Coturnix japonica: one gene and its partner. The protein of the gene in region 1 interacts with the protein of each later gene in a pairwise test. Links are inferred from orthologs where the notes say so. Each region holds a gene or a part of one and is shown on either strand. Other genes may lie near its edges.

Evidence for each region.
Region 2: the proteins of MFAP1 (region 1) and KATNBL1 interact in binary tests that used the Homo sapiens proteins (3 or more experiments, as listed by UniProt). The link is inferred for Coturnix japonica from reciprocal best matches to the Homo sapiens genes MFAP1 and KATNBL1.

The regions. Positions count from the first base shown.
Region 1 is NC_029525.1:18,262,896-18,268,840, reverse strand, and holds the start of MFAP1 (microfibrillar-associated protein 1), read right to left. Parts: upstream 3,852-5,945; 5' UTR 3,745-3,851; coding exon 3,666-3,744; intron 3,429-3,665; coding exon 3,209-3,428; intron 2,997-3,208; coding exon 2,867-2,996; intron 2,553-2,866; coding exon 2,365-2,552; intron 1,997-2,364; coding exon 1,888-1,996; intron 1,815-1,887; coding exon 1,654-1,814; intron 1,412-1,653; coding exon 1,252-1,411; intron 921-1,251; coding exon 831-920; intron 673-830; coding exon 490-672; 3' UTR 1-489. UniProt on the Homo sapiens protein: Involved in pre-mRNA splicing as a component of the spliceosome.
Region 2 is NC_029520.1:26,556,430-26,560,532, forward strand, and holds the start of KATNBL1 (KATNB1-like protein 1), read right to left. Parts: upstream 2,801-4,103; 5' UTR 2,687-2,800; intron 2,407-2,686; exon of another isoform or gene 1,307-2,406; intron 1-1,306. Other genes in the region: uncharacterized protein LOC107314916, read left to right, coding at 3,196-3,227, 3,993-4,100.

The DNA.
Region 1 (5,945 bases):
TGCAAAAACAGGGTTAGGAGTCTGTCACAGCTGTTCCCACCCAAAGGAAGATCCAAAATGACAATGGGGAAAGGTAGGAGGAATAGAGAGATACTGTGGACCAGACAGGGATAAGTGTCTGCTAGTTCCTCTGAAGGTGGGGATGCTGGAGCAGGGGGTGCTGTGCTTCTGTACAGCTGCTCTGGTGCTGCCAAGGCTCTCGCAGGCTGGTGGGGTGGTGACATGACCATGAGGCTGCTCAGCATGGCTGGAAGTCATCTGCCACAAGAACCAGCGATGGGAGTCTGCCGAGTCTCTGCAGTATAGGTCATGGATCATGCCACCAACTAACAGGGAGGATGCAGTGCAAGGGCCCAGAGGGACAGCTGATTGTGGCACGAGTCCTGGTGCGGTGTTTTGTCCCTGCTGTTCCTGCCCAGGCTCTCAGGCAGCTGATAAAGCAGTGCCTCTCTGCCCAGTCAGCCACAGGACGCCCTCCTGTCTGCTCCCTTAAGTGGTCTTCCGCTTCTTGGCCGAGGGTCTCTCGAAGACATCCCTCACGCCTGCTGCTTTCTGCTTGAAGAATTTAGTGTTCTGTGCACTTTCTTGGCCCCAGGCAGAGTCAAACGAGGTGGTATCCTGGTCTACCAAGTGCGTGTACTTTGTCCGTCCTGAGCGCCCAAAGTTCTTGACCTGGGAGGCAGGAAAGATTGTGAGCATCAGTTGGTGTACGATGTGGGGACCCTATCATGTCACTGCTCCTTCCCTCGTGAGATCCCACCGATCCCACGAGCCCCAGCTGAGCAGCACTGGTGGAGCTGGGGCAGCGCACAGACCTGCCACACACCCACCTGCATGACTTTGGGCAGGATAGTTTTGTTGAAGTGGTCCTCGAGGGTAGGGGCACTGAAGTCCCGCTTGTACACCTCCTCATCTTCGTCCTGCGGAGGAAGGACACACCTGCTTGACTTGCAAGTTTCCAGCAAGTGTCAGTAGAAGACAAGTGGAGAAGAGCTACCGAGAACCAGCTGTCCTGGGACTGCTGCTCCATGCAGCAAGTCCCTGACGAACTGCATTCGTGTCTTTACTCACCCTGCCTGCCAGACCTGACAGGCACCTCAGATCCCCTCAGTCACTTCAGCAGCACGCTGCTGTTGAGGGCCAGCTCTGGTCCTGTGTGCTTGGCCAGCCCTTACTTGGGTACCACTAGGGAAAACTCCCCCAAAACAGCCACGTGGTCCACGCAGCCCCAGGCCTGGCAGCAGAACTCACCATGAAGAAGGCGCCACGGTGGTAGTACTTCTGCAGGAACTTGTATTTGCCCTTCACTGCCTTGTTGGTGATGACTTTGCCGTTGGCTCGCAGCTCGGCACGGCGCTCCTCCTCTGTCAGGTTCCTCATCCGCTCGATCTCTGCCTTCTCTTTCTCCATGCTGGGCAAAAGAGAAACCCTGAGCCCCTGCATCCCTCAGTGCCCTCCCAAGATGGGACAGCTGCTGCCACCCGGGACTTTCTGACGAATACGTTGACTGACTCCATAATGGAGTAAAGCACCTCAAGAAAATTCCTGATGCTGCCAAAACAAAGACTGAGAAAGAGACGCCTCAACTGCCCGCTGTCCTGCAGGGCCTGGGACTGCAGGGACCCTCCCCTGCCTTAAGCAGACAGTACTTACGCTTCTCGTTCTTCACGATCCCGTTTGATGCGCTTCAGCTCACGTACTTTCCAAGCCTCGTACTCCTCCTCATCATTCTCATCGTCTGTATCGAGAGCATCAAGTGCTGCCAACGAGCGCTTATTCTCTTCCAGCTCCTTCTTTGCCTCCTCTTCCACGATCTGAAGCCAAGACCAAGCTCAGCTCACTGCAATGGCTGCCCCAACATGCATGCCCCAGTCTGCCCCGCTGTACCTTGAGTGTGTACTTGCGCCTCTCTTCTGCTAATCTCTTTGCCTCCTGTTCTAGCTCCTTCTGCTTCAAGGCTTCTGCTTCTCGCTCCTGAACTGTGATCCGGTCCTTCCTGTGAGCAGGGACCACAAAAGCCTTCAGCCTTTCAACATGCCACTGCAGACCTCTGCTCCCACTGCAGCCTCTTTTAGTCTTTATGCCCCCCACGGCAGGGCCAAGTCCCAAGGCTCTCTCCTTTCTGATTTTGCTCATTCAAGAGCGACCATACTCAGTCTCCTCACATCTGCAGACATGCACAAAGGTGATGGGAGACCCTGCTACTGGCTGTGGAACATGTTGGAGCACACTACCTGGTTTCTGTTGTGCTGTACCTGCCTAAAGTCCCCAGTTGGAAGTACCCAGCCATGCCCTACCAGGTCAGTCACTGCCCATCCCTGATGCAGTGCTTGGCCCATGCAGCTGTATCACCTTATCACCTACTTGCGGATGAAGACAGGTTTGAGACGTGGCTCCATTTCATCCTCGCTGTCTGTGTACTCCTCGTACTCAGACTCTGACTCAGACTCTTCTCCAGATCTGCCCTCATCTTCCAGCTCCATCACTTCCAGCTCCTCAGTTTTTCTCTCCTGCGCTCTCTGACGCATCATCCCACGCCGACGCTCGATCTCCTAATGGAGACACATCAAACACAGACTCAGCCAACCAGCCCCACTATCGCTTCCTTCCTTTTTCCATATAAAAAGCATGATGTTGAGCTTATATGATATGATGTTGACTGCTTATATAAGCCCACACCTCAGAACGCAGGTGACCTCCCTGGTGCCCCATAACCCACAGGCTGTGGTCACACCACAGCTGGCTTTAACTCAGGTCCCAACATCCACCCAGTCTCACCACAGTTCACGTGTGTCTGCAAGCACGAATTCCAGACAGGGCCTAAGGGGACTTTCCCAGGCCACATCTGCTCAGCAATATAACGAACCTCATCATCGATCTCTTCCTCTTCCTCTTCACTGGTGTCCTCTCTCTCCACACGCCACGCTTCACCTTCTACCTCAGAATCACTCTCTCCGACCACTTCAGGCTCCACAATTTTGCGGTGTCTTGCCAGCCTGCAACAAATGTCCACTCGACTACGAAGCTCTGAACACAAGGAGACTAAAGAAGAGAAATCTTTGCGATCTGTTTCTAATGAGACCGTAGTCAGACCCGGGACCACGAAGCGTGTGAAGGAAAGAGGCATCCCCTGCGTGCTCAGGAGCCCGGAAACACAAAGCTGGGGGGGAGCACGAGGAGGGAGCAGAGCCCGGAGCCGAGCACTCACCGCTCCTCCACGTCCTCAGTGATGCGGTTCTGCAGCCGCCGCAGCCGCGGGTCGTTGGCGACCTCCTCCTCCTGCTCCTCGGGCTCCACCTCCTGCTCCTTCGCCTTCTTGATGAACTGGAACTCCTCGTCCTCCTCCTCCGAGGATTCCATGGGCGCGTAGTCGGGCCGCTTCCCCGACACGTACCGCTTCACCTTCACCTTCTCCATAGACAGCTCGCCTGCGGGAGGGGGGGGAACAGCAGCGGGAGGAACAGCAGCGGGAAGCCATGAGCAGCCGGGCCATGAGCAGGGCGCCATGGGCAGCCGGGCCATGAACAGCCGTGAGCAGCCATGGGCAGCCATGGGCAGCCGGGCCATGAGCAGGGCGCCATGGGCAGCCATGTGCATTCATGCCATGAACATTCACGCCGCCGCCGTGCCCGCGCCCCCCGCCCCTCCCGGCGCCCCGCACTCACCCTTCTCATTGCGGACGGGCACGGCGCCCGCCGTGGACTGGATGGGCGGCTGCTTCACGAGAGCGCTGGGGGCCGACATGGCGGCGGGACGGGACGGGACGAACCGCAGCCGCTCACAGCACCGACCGACCGACAGACCGACAGACCGACCGCTCACCCGGAACTGCAACTCCCGCTTCCGCCGGCGTACCGGAAGTGAACGCGCGCCGAACCGTCGCAAGCCGCCGGAAGTGACGCTCAGCGTGGAGGTCATTTCCGGCTCCTGTGGCCGGATGTGGAGCTGGTTTCGGCCCGGTCCGGTCGCGGTGCAGCGGCGGTTCCCCTCAGGGCTCGGTTCCCCTCAGGGCTCAGATCGGCCCCGCTGTGATCTCTCCGCTCATCGCTTCGGGGCTCGGGAGTGGTGACGTGCTGCGGAGCCGGCCGCACGTAGCCCCGGCCCGCGCCGGGTCCCTGCCCGGGATTCCCGGGGCCGGCTGCCGAGTCCTGCCCCTGCTGCTCGTGTGGCTGCGGCTGGAGGCTGCGCTCAGTGTCGGTGCTGAATACCGGGTTACCATCGGTGCTGAATACCGGGTTACCATCGGTGCTGAATACCGGGTTACATCGGTGCTGAATACGGGTTACCACGGTGCTGAAACGGGTTGCCCATCGGTGCTTGGAATGCCCGGGTTACCATCGTGCTGAATGCGCGGCGTACCTCGGTGCTGAATTTACCGGTTACCATCGCTCTGCAGGGCTCTCCCCGGGCTGTCCCCCGCCCTCTGGCTGCCAGGACTTTCCCGCAGCACCGGCCCAGGGCAGAGGGAATTACCCGCAGGAGCAGCCCCTACATGGAAGCGGGCAGGTTTCCTGCCCCAGCTGTTGCTGCTCACGTCAGAGCCCTTCACACACCAGTTGGGTTTCGCAGGAAAGCAGCCCAGCGCCAACTCGTAGCAGCTGCCCACGCGGTAGCAGCCAACCACAGGAGATAAGATTTCTCTTGAAGCCAGGAAAAACTGGGTCACCAGCCACCACAACCGCGTCTGCAGCGCTGCGGTGCCTCCCCAAAAGAAGGGAAGAGGTTTTATCTTCCGGGAAATCAGCACGGGGGTGCCAGGCAGTGAGACCTGCTCCTGGGGACTGACCTCAGCATTCCCTTGTGCTGGCAGGGTGGGTCCCCTGGGCACAACAGCTCCTGGGTAAGCCTGACCCTGCTGGTGCTGTGGCAGGAGAAGAGCTGCCACTGAGCAGGCCCAGGCAGAGCTTTTGGCCGCTCCAGGGTCCCTGTGATTCTGCTGTGCGTGCAGCCAGACCCCAGTGCTGCAGTTGTCCCGCTGCCTCGGGCACTGGTGGCTTTGTGCTCCTGCAGCAGCAGTGCTTGGGGGTAGGCAAGTCCTTCCTGGTGTTCCTGGCCTTGATGTCCCGATGACAATTAGAGCTCTGTGCCCAGCTCCTGCTCCGCTCCCAGTCATCAGCTGAGATATCAATTTTGTGTGGTTATCACAGCGTGTTCCTACCTAATGGTTCCCGTGTCACCATGGCAAGGAGCGAGCTTCAATGTATGACTCAGTGAGTGAAACAATTAGGCACAATGGTTACAGGAAAGCTTAGGAATTGCACACAAAGCACATCGTGTCCTGATCAGGTGAAGCTAAACTCAAGACCTCAGCAAACAGGAAAATGCTTCCTGGCTGGCTTCGATGCTGTGCCTCAGGGGTTTGATGCGGTGACAAGAAGCAGCCCTGACCCTTTGGTGTGCTTCTCTGCCCTGTGTCCCACGGAGCCGCACACGGCTGCAGCAGGAGTGAGGGGCTGGGAGTGGCAGAGGCGGTGTTTGGGCTGTCTGGGGCAGGGGACGCAGGCTGATACAGCTGAGAATGCCCCCAGCCTGCTAGAGCACGTGGTGAGGGGGCTTTGGGGGCAGTGTGTGGGCTCTGCTGCCTGTCCTGCAATCAAAGTGTGCTCAGAACCCATGCAGCGCACTCAGATCGGGTGGGCTTCCTTTCCCCTGGGTGGCTGCAGAGCAGATGGGGGCTGGAGATGGCAGCTGTGATACTTCAGCAGCCTCGTGGCAATTGATGACAAAGGCAGAAGGCAGATAAAGTTACAGAGACACGTTGTGCCGCTGCTGTTTGTCTGCAGGCTGCACCGCGGGGCAAGGTCAGCGCCGGATCCCCGGCCCGATGTTGTGTCTGGGAGTGCGGGGCGGGCAGAGCCTCCCATCCCACCGCAGCCACGTGCAGCGCAGCCCCCGCGGCAGCCCAGGCTCCCCGCACTCCCCCTGAGGCCGCTCAGTGAGCACCG
Region 2 (4,103 bases), on another chromosome or scaffold:
CGGGGTTTCTCCCCCACCCCTCACGTTATATCAAGAGCATGTTCTCAAGGATGACAACATCGATCGAAGTTAATTATTTGTTACTCCGCACAGAGAGGAGGTGCCAGATCTGAAGGCATTTGAAGCTGGCACACATCATAGAGCCAGGAAAGAGCAAGTGATTTTACTAATTATTATCAGATGGAAAAGGCTTATGGGAAATCTCCAATAATGGTTATTCCAAAAGGTAATTGGTCTAGAGAAATAAATTAGTGCTATCTTATGAGGCAGAAGACTGAGTAAACTTGGCATCATTTCCTTCCATTCTAAGTCCGACCAACAAATACTACAGATTCCATCCGTCTCTTATTGTACATCTTCCACACACTTTCATTATGAAACAGATTTTTGTGTAATTACTGTTCACTAAGTGCTACGTACTGAATTATCTTAAGAAAGGCATTCCTCAAAACCTTGAATTACCATCAATGCAAAGTTTCTGTGCAACACTACAAGACAAGCCTTTCACATCACCAGGGCACGAATCTCAGCCAGATGTACCCGTTAGGTCCCTTCTTTCAATCTGAAGTGACTTATTAGGAAAAAATTAACATCAGCTAAATCAGCAGTAAAGAAATACTGCTTGAGTGACAAATTAATGCTGTAACAATTTTTTAAGCTCAGCTTCCTACTACACAGACATGGAGTTTTTTCGGGGCCTGCTGTCATAAACAGCCATAATGAGGCTTTGGAAGTGACCACAAGTCAGAGTTCAGTGAAGCTCGGGGAGGATGAACCCAGGCATGGGGCAGAGCTCCCTTATTACAAAGTCTGATAACTGAACATCTGATTCCTAGGAAAATATTCCTTCCAGGAAAGGAAGGAGTAGTAAAAGTACCACACCATGTTCTGCACGTGGAAGTACAATTTAAAGGCATGTCCAATTTTAAAAAGCACTGGAAAGCAGAATCATAGAAGCAGCCCTCTAATAAGGAAAGGATGTTTTTCACCTGTTGATTTTCACCTATTAACAACACAGGAATAGCAAGGCTGGAAAACTTCTATTGTTAACATTATCTGACAGCTGTTAGATAGAAAACAGAGCTCAAATACATTGAAACTCTCACATCAAGACTGTCAACAAGCTTTAAGAAATCACCCATAAAAAACAAATGCTTTTCTCTTATTTGCTGTTTAACCCCAATCTGTAGCAAGAATCTTAAATTCAAATTCTGAGAAAGGTGCACTGCAACTACTTCCCTTCCAGCCCTAATGGAGCTGCAGGTACCCACACAGCCCCACGAGGCCAAAAGCAGCCTGCACCTACCTATACTGCACGGCTCCAGATCACATGGCATTGAAGATTACACTTAATGTCACCCTGCGTGTCTTTTGATGATGAGATGCTAAAAGCATCTAAAAAGATCTTTCCTAATTCAAACTTCAAGTCCCTCACCATAGGATCAAGATATAGAGCGTTTTAAGTAAAAGATATCCTTATTATTCTAACCGAAATAAATCAAAAAGAGAAGCTGCAAAACTTATGGACGCAGTTCACATAAATTACTGTAACACTACAAGACAGGATACTCATGTATGTAAACATATTCCTGTAATGACAGCTACTAATACTATTTTTAAAATGTAGTAAGTGTTCTCAGTTATAAAGCTTAGGAACTAAAAATAAAGCTAACTTGAATTCAGCGAAGCGAGGTTACTGACATTTTAGTCAAAGTTATTTGCACTGATTAATAATGAAGTAACAGCTTTAAACTAAAACAATTTGTTTTTTTCCACCCAGCAAGGACCAAGAGCCACTCGTCTGCCATCTGCTACGCTTAATTCTCCAGCAGGGCTCACCCTTCTTGTCCTTCTCTGTCTGCAGCTACACAATGGGAAATACAAAAACCAAGGCAGTGAGAAAGGCAACATTCCTCTTCCAAAAAGCAGTTTTTAAGCAAATAATGGACTCATCCTTGCTCCATAGCAAAGCACGTTACTAAAACAACAACACCTCGATAAAACTATCACACAGTCTCTCCAACTGGTTTCACTCTTCAGAGTTCGTTAGGTCTACACTGAACGACAAGCCAAGCCGCTCCAACACAACAGAAAAAGAGATCTGAAGTCTTTTTAAGAAAGCAATTAACTCCGGCTCCCGAAGCAAATGAAGATGTCTTGTTCCCTCCCTCTCCTCCCCACTGCAATAAGGCATCTGTCACACCCAGGGCGCAGAGCCCAGTCAGCAGGCCTCGCCCCTGCTATTATCCTCCCCGGGCAGCACTACAACCCTGCCGCGCTCCCGCCGCCTGCCTACGGGAGCACACGCCGGTTTCGACTCTGGGGTGACGCCGTCGTCTCACAAAAAGGACGAAGCGAATCCCCGACCGAACCGACGCAGGGCCGCCCGCCGAGCCCCGCACGGGCACGGCCGAGACGGGCGGTGAGGCCGCCAGTGCCCTGCAGCTCGGTAGAGGCGGCCCCGCTCCCACCTGCGCGCCGCCCACAGCTGCCGGGCCTGGCGAGGCGCCCCGCGCTGGGCCCGAGCGAGCGGCCCCGGAGATCCGCCTGCGGAAGGCCCGGCCGCGGCTCCTCCCAGCCCGTCTCGCAGCGCCGTGGGCGCGCCCCGGGCCGAGGAGGGGCCCCGCCACGAGGGACCCCCCGCAGCCGGCCCTCCCGACGCGGCGGCCCTCCCGGCCGCGCTCACCTGCCGCTCATGGTACCGGACGGCCCACGCCGACAGGAGACACTGTGACAGGAAGCTACAACCCGGAGCCAGCGCCCACAGCCTGCGCCATTCAAACGGCGCCGCGCTGCATGCCGGGCCGCGCCCCGCCTCGCTCCGCCTCCGCCCGCGCCGTGCAGGAACAAAGCGCCCTCTGGCGGCCAACCCGCAACCGCCCGGCGAGGGGAGAGACTGCGATGGCACCGCGATCCGGGGTTGCTCAGCACAGGGAAGGCTTTCTGATGCGTCACGTTCCTCGAGTATTTTATTGAATCGGGAACTTTGCAACCCTTCATCTCTACTGTGTCCGCAGGCAGCTAATGACACAGCACGGTTACGAGCTTCACATGCTAAGTCAGTCCACGCCGACTGCAGAGTGTAGCTGAGTACAAACAGCTTCTCTGCCCCTGAGGCTTGGGTGTATTGCAGCCCTCTGTTTGCTCGGGTACAGCATCTCAGGATGCACCTGCAAAGTAAAGCTGGTGGGAAAGATGGACTGTTTTTGTAATAAACAAAGGAGAAGGTGAGATTTATTCTGCATCTCCACTTCATTCCTTTCCATGGTAAATTCTGCTCTGAAGTACGACATTTTGTCATGCAGCTGCACTACAACCCTGCAGAACCAGGACCACATCTGTACCTGGCACAGACACATTTTGGATAGGCCATAATGCTCGTTCCTAGAGCACCTCACTCTCAGTTTGGGGGGAAGAAAGGATGAGCTCTGATAAATTACTTCCTTTCTTCATTAAGTTGAGCGTGACAATTTAAATCACTTAAACCATAACTCAGTTATTAAAGCATTTCTTCAGTGTCCGAGTAGCTCCATGACTATATGGATCTAATTGATAACTACATTACCTTTTTTTTTCCTGTATTTTATTTTATTTTATTTTATTTTATTTTATTTTATTTTATTTTATTTTATTCCTGGCTTATGATTCAGGCTTTAGGACAAGGCAGTCTGTAAGATACTGGCACATAGCAAACCACTGCTATTTGAAGAAGGCATTTGATTGATAGCTCTAAAAATGAGCTACAGATACATATTCGAGTCCTCAGTTCAGACAGCATTTCTGTTTATTCTTCTTGTGCCAATATTATTCTATAGTTAAAAGAACTCACTTCCTATCACAGACGACAAATAGACATCTGCTGTTGAAGAATAACTTCTCAGCAATTCTGTTTTCCCAGGTTAAATAAACTAAACATTCTTAATTTCCTACTGCAGGATAGCCTTTCTATTTGCTTAATCATCCTAATGTCAATTTTATGTTCATTTCTGCAGATGTCACAGTGTTGGTTCACACTTCCTTGATGTACACTGCTTAAAGTATTCATGCTTCTTGTGGTCATCTGAGCACTTCACCCGTGGATATCCAGGCACATATGATCAGTA